2 linked regions of the Mus musculus genome follow. The protein of the gene in region 1 interacts with the protein of each later gene in a biochemical or structural test. Links are inferred from orthologs where the notes say so. Each region holds a gene or a part of one and is shown in the gene's direction. Other genes may lie near its edges. The genes, in order: Gopc and Sstr5.

What was found.
Region 2: the proteins of Gopc (region 1) and Sstr5 form a complex in vitro, tested with the Homo sapiens proteins (2 studies listed by BioGRID and IntAct, with this or other methods). The link is inferred for Mus musculus from reciprocal best matches to the Homo sapiens genes GOPC and SSTR5.

The regions. Positions count from the first base shown.
Region 1 is NC_000076.6:52,337,003-52,340,831, reverse strand, and holds the end of Gopc (Golgi-associated PDZ and coiled-coil motif-containing protein), read left to right. Parts: intron 1-978; coding exon 979-1,109; 3' UTR 1,110-3,808; downstream 3,809-3,829.
Region 2 is NC_000083.6:25,491,829-25,494,614, reverse strand, and holds part of Sstr5 (somatostatin receptor type 5), read left to right. Parts: intron 1-2,326; 5' UTR 2,327-2,361; coding exon 2,362-2,786.

The DNA.
Region 1 (3,829 bases):
AGTTTAAAGCAATAATTTTATAGCCTTGGTTAGAAAACTTTTCTTACCTTTGTAAACTGCAAATGCTTAAAACATGAAATATGACTCATAGCTGTGCGTGGTGGCACACACCTTTATTCCCAGCACTCGGGAGGCAGAGGCAGGTGGATTTCTGAGTTCGAGACTAGCCTGGTCTACAGAGTGAGTTCCAGGACAGCCAGGGCTACACAGAGAAACTCTGTCTCGAAAATAAACAACAACAAAAAAAAGAAATATGACTCAGCCAAAATGCATGCCATACAGCATATTACTATTAAGTGCGTCAGATAATGAAAACTTTACCTTTGGTAGGTTTTAGATCTTCCTCCGACTTCTAGGCTGGCCGGGAACTCATTGTGTAGACCATGCTGTCTTTGAACACAGGATCTTCCTGCCTTAGCCTCTCAAGTGTTGAGGTAAAATCTATCTGTTGATTATTGTTTAATACAGATCTTTCTAACCTTCTTAGTGGGGTTTTCAGTCAGTCATATTTACTTAAAACCCCATTATATGTTAGGTAAATTAACCAAAATTTATTTTAATATCTAGCTAAACATTATCTTGCCAACAGATTGTTTAGCAGTCAACTAGCATATATTTCAATGAATTGAAGTTAAATTATATAGAAGCAAAATATTTGTATTTCAGTAAATAATTGTATAAATACAATTGGGTTTTTATAAGTTAGTATGTCAACCCTAAGTTTTTTAGAAAACTGGATTGCATTTATTTCACAACTTTCAGGTAGCTTCAATAGTTAATACTTTAAAAATGTATATGATGTTTCCTATCTGCTATAAGATGAAAGAATTCCCATAAGCACTATTGATTTGATCAGGGTTAGCTTGCCTTATATTGCTGCTAATAATTTCATTGAACATTGTTTCTTAGTAAAACTGTAAAACTTAGACATATTTTTGGCCAGAAATACACGGTGTATTTTGTGCTCTTGTCTCCCAGGGTATAACAAGAAGGCAGTGAGGGATGCGCATGAGAATGGGGACGTGGGGGCTGCAGGTGAGAGCCCTCTGGATGACACTGCTGCGAGAGCGGCTCATCTGCACAGCCTGCATCAGAAGAAGGCCTACTAACCCAGACACGCTGCTTGTCAGACTCGTGGAGTGTGGGGCACTAGAGAAGACGGTGACAAAGACTGCACAAGATCAGGGAGGCTGTGTGTTGCCTAGAGAAAGGCGGGAACCTCAGGGCTTCATGTGAACAATTCTAAGTGCATAAACCCCTGTTTTCTGTGGTATACCTTAATTAGCTATTGCATGGAAGGCAGTTTTGATTTTCCTGGAATCTAAGCACCAAAGCATGTGTTTCCCAAAGGGGTTTTACTAGGCTCTTACAGGCCAAGTGGATGCTATTTCATTTGGCTCCTTTTCATGTATAACAGGACAGTGCTAACTGGAATTCTCTAAGTACCCTTTAAATACAGCAGAGTAAATGATACCATATATTCCCTAAGGATAACTGCGGAATTTCAGATGACAGAACTTTACTCAGTGAATTGCAAAAATCTAGGTTGACATTTTTGCTTAATTGAAAATTTTGTTTCAGGTTTTTTTTAAAAAGTATCTTGTACATTCCTGATATCTAAATTAATTACTATCTTAAATCATTATGATGAGTTCACTCTCCAGGTAACTCAACTGCAGTACAAAACGGTTTTCTTTAGGCAATCCTGTATCAATCAATGCTGCTCTAGGAATAGTTTGGGAAAAGTTACTGTGCATTTGACTTTGGACTTTTAAAGGAAACGCAGACAAGTGGAAAATGGCCTGTTTTCAATTATGTTGATCTGTGTGCATGGTATTGGAGCATTACACTGTTAATGTTTAGTCCCAAATGTTAATTGTCTGGAATCCACGAAAAACAGCTTTATACATTTTTGAGCTGTTCCCAAGCTTTGTCTTGTGATAGTCAGGAACATTACTATGTCATGAAATACATTGTGTTCAAACAGCAGTTGGCTTTAAGTACCTGACTTGCCAGTCATTTAAAAAGCCGGGGGCCAAGGTAGGCAAGATGAGGTAAAGACATTTTGGTACAGTGAGCATATTGGTTTTTATATCAGTATATGTTTGACTAAAGCAATACTCGTGTGCAAACTCTGTAAATGTATTAGTTCTATTGTATCAGAACTAAGTACAGAGTGCCTGCTCCCTTCTTTCCTGACCTACAGACAATTGCACCCTGCCTGCCGGGCAAACTGAAAATACTGTACTTAAAGAGGTGTGATTTTTGCTAAGTCACTGTTTTAAAGGATTTACACCTAAGGGAATCTTATGTGGGAGAAGCCTACATATATCGGGCTTTTACAATATCAGTATCTTCTTTCTTGGTATGCTTGTTTTTCCCAGATGCATTATATATTTGTTCAAAGTTAAAATCTATAAAATGTATATACTTTATTTTGTGATTTTGCTATTTATAAATTTTCTTTTTAACTGTTGCTCATTTATGGTCTCTGGGTGGTTTCGTTCTTCATAGTATCACCATGTTAACTGGTAACTGAAAGTGCACTTCGTATGTATATTGTTAGTGATGCTGAGATACCTTGTAGTGTAACATTGCCTGTAAACAAGGTTAGTATTTTAACTGTACAAATGAATAAACACGTTACATATTACTGTTTGCTCCTGATAGGCTAGACCTCTTAAAAGAAAGATTGTTTTTTCCTCAAGTATTCCTCCCACACCAAACACATACCCCAGTGCATGACTTGAGACCTTCAAAGTAGGTGGTAGCCATTGTATTCATTTAAGGAAAAAATGTTCATGGTAACAGATCTGAAATATTTTTGCTTTGACCTGAAACCATGCTGCTCCTATATCCTTTCAGCATTGCCTGGGAAGGACCAGGGCCATTTTATTTTCCTTTTTATTCATAGATTATATGCCTTATATACTATGATTGAATCGCTAGGAAATGTAAGCTATATAACCCTTTGAATTTTTTCAAGAACTTCACAGCAGATGTGAAAGCAAAACTTGGATGAGCATTTTCATGTGCTGCCTAGGAGGGATTGTGTGAGATGGGTACAGAATATATTTAGAAAGAGTAGTTTATGGTTCTACAGGTCCGTCTTTCCATCTCTGCTTTCTGGTTTGGAAGCATAGGAGAGTGCTGTGGCGTGAAACCTGCTCTGAGAGCATCCTGGTACTCTCCCAGGCCCACTGGAGAGTTCACTTCAGAGTGTGTGGTCCCAAAGCACTAAGTGAAAAGTAGTCTTTATAGTTCATGTTCATAGGAAAGATGCCCATATAACACTGACTCTTCTTGAACAAAGCCAAAAAATGGGGGGAAAGCTGTTGCAAAGCCATTACAATGAAAACGTGTAGAGCATGAGAGGTGTGTGCGTGGACATACTCACACTTATTGTGTGAAATTGTCTTCTGCAGTTTTCTGTTCTGAACATGATGAAAGTGACGTATTCGGGTTAGGGATTATTGTTAAATTAAATTTGAGAGAGATGAAGAGCTTGCAAGTCTGTTGATTAGAATTAAACAATTACAAATAACATAACCTGTCCATGGTGCTGGAATAGACCCCACAGCAAGGGGCTTATGTTGTTTTCATATTTTAAAACAAAAAATATATTAATTTACATATAAGGGGATTTATGATAATTGTATTATATCTAGTTGAGTTTCATATTCTTAATTAGCCTGTAAATAAAAATGACATATTCTACATTAAAGCAGTATTGATCAGATTTGAAGGAAAATAAATGTTTTCTCTTTCATTCACATTAAATATTTTGGTTTATTATGGGTTCTGAGTAGCTCCTGTGACTTGTATCATT
Region 2 (2,786 bases), on another chromosome or scaffold:
GCCAGGCAATCACTCTACATCCTTAGGCCTACACTCGGTCTTTTATTAGATAAGGTTTATCAAGCACCTCTTATCTTTAATAGAACTGTCATTCTCACTGTTGGTAGTGTTTCCATGATGTGGCCTGCGATATTCTTCCGGGTTTTTTCTTTATGTAGTGCTCTGCAGCTCAGAGTTGATGCTGGTGTATTGTGATTTAATCCTACTAGAGACATGATTGGCCAGGAGGAGGCGTCTGGCATCCTCTCTGTGAGATGAAGTCTCATCCTTCCCCGTTATCCTTGTGGTCCCTGCTTGGTCTTCCTGTCTCTTCCATGTATGCATCTTCTCAACATCCCTCCGTGTAGTCTACCTCACCAATTCTCTCCTCCACACTATCAGATATCTAGATTAGAATTAGTCGTGGGTTTTGTGGGCTTCCTTTTTCTTAGTTATTTATTTAAATGACCCTATTTTTCGTTTTTTAAAAGATTTTTTTTGTTTTATTTTTGATTATGTGTGGTTGTGTACATGTAAATACAGATGTTCATGGCAGCCAGAGGTATCAGATCCCCTGGAGCTAGAGTTACGGGCAGTTGTGAGCTGCCTAAGTGCTGGGAATCAAAATTGGGTCCTCTGCAAGAACAATCTGCACTCTTACCAGATAAGCCGCCTCTCCCAGCACTAAATGACTGCACTTTTCATGCCCAAAGTCTGTCACTTGAAGGTTTGTGTGGGGAGGGGTGGGAATTGTTCTCTTTACCCCTCACTCCTCGTAATATTTTATCCATACTTTACTCAAAGATCTTGCACTTACTGAAACATGCCCATGGCGTGCTAGTTAACTTATTTTGCTTCACCCTTTCCTGGCTAGTCCGCTGCCAGCCACTTGCCCCTTGGCTTTCCAGGTCATCTCCTTAGCATCCACGCACCTTGCGGTCTTGGGAACGCTGGTTCATTGGCTTCATTTCCTTGCTGCTGCTGCTGACTCTAGGATCCCTCTCTCTGGCCTGCCTTTCCTTGTTCATCAGATGGTGGTTGTTTCTGCTTGATCCTGGTCACCCCAGGACTAGGTCCTGCCCTGACAGCTACTGAAGTGTCTCATGTGTGCTATGGCTCAGGCCACTGCAGATCAGCTGAGCAGGCCTGCGTTCCTGAGGGCAGCCTGGCTCAGCCGAGGACTCCTGCCTCTCCACGGCCTGTTCCTGGCCTGTGGCCTTCCAACACTTCAGTTCCATGATGGTTCCACCATAGGGACCAGCCCTGCCCCTCTCCTTCTTCCCAAGTGATGGAGGCATTTATTTCCTCCTGGGCATCTTTGTTTTTATGAAAGACTTCAAGCACAAAGAACCACAAAGCAAGGGCACAAGTGTGGGCACCTGCCACTCATCTGTCAGGCTGTCCTCCCACACCTGCCTCTCTATCTTCTCCACAAAGCCCACGCACCTGCCCAGTGTTCCAACTCTGCTTCCCATGGGCTGTGTGCCCCCTCCTATGCTATGCCCACAGCCTAGTGTCTTCCCATTGGCTGTTATTTCTGCTCCATGTGTTTGCCTCCCTGCTGTAGGCACCTTCCAGTTGCGTACTATGCACTAAGCCTGGGGCTTAAGGATGTCTGCCATTGCTGAGCAGGAGACAGACCTTTGCCCTGGACAGGCACATCAACCCAGTCTCTTCAGGGATGAGAAGTGGGCCAGCCACTATGTCATATGGGGACCTTTAGAGTCATTGCTGCTTCTGAGAGCCTCGGACTCTGCAGTGGGTAGAAACTGTCTACTGGGGTTAGCATTCCCTACACTCTCCAGGAGGGAAGGCCCTGCCCCAGAGAGAGTTCAGCCTTGAACTTACTAGCAGAACAGATCTGGGATGCTCCATGTATTGGGTATAGTGGGCTCACCACAGCTATGGCATCTCTCCCTCTTCCTTCTCTATCAGCTACTTCTCCTCATAATTTGGGGACCCCTGGGGAGGTGATATCTTCTGAGCTCACATCACTCCTGAAATGCTGCCCTCAGGGCTCTGAGAGGTTTTGGAGAGAGTGCTGGATAGCAGAACAGAAGCCAAGCCAGGGAAGTCGTGGGTTGTGGGTCCCAGGGCAGCCCCTGTAGTGTCAGTGTCAACAGATAATGGCCTTCTGGGCTCCTGGAGCCACCCATCCTCCTGTCCCCGCAGTGGCTTCTTCTTCCTCTCTAGCTTGTTTTCCAAACAATTTGCTTAATGTGATTCCTGGTCAAGTTGAACATGACTAAAGGTGTTTTTACCCATCACCGTCTGGCAGGCGGGCTGGGGACGACAGGAGGAAGAAATGCCTGAATGTGCCCACTAGTGACACCCTCTTCTCTTGCAGAGATACATGTGCTCTGGCATCCTGAACCTGACAGCATGGAGCCCCTCTCTTTGACTTCCACACCTAGCTGGAATGCCTCAGCTGCTTCCAGCAGTAGCCATAACTGGTCACTAGTGGACCCGGTGTCACCCATGGGAGCCCGGGCGGTATTAGTGCCTGTGCTCTACTTGTTGGTATGCACCGTGGGACTGGGTGGAAACACACTGGTCATCTATGTGGTGTTGCGGTACGCCAAGATGAAGACAGTTACTAACGTGTATATCCTGAACCTGGCCGTGGCTGACGTGTTGTTTATGTTGGGGCTTCCTTTCCTGGCAACGCAGAATGCTGTCTCCTACTGGCCCTTTGGCTCCTTCTTGTGCCGCCTGGTCATGACGCTGGACGGCATCAACCAGTTCACCAGTATCTTCTGCCTGATGGTCATGAGTGTCGACCGCTACCTGGCCGTGGTCCACCCTCT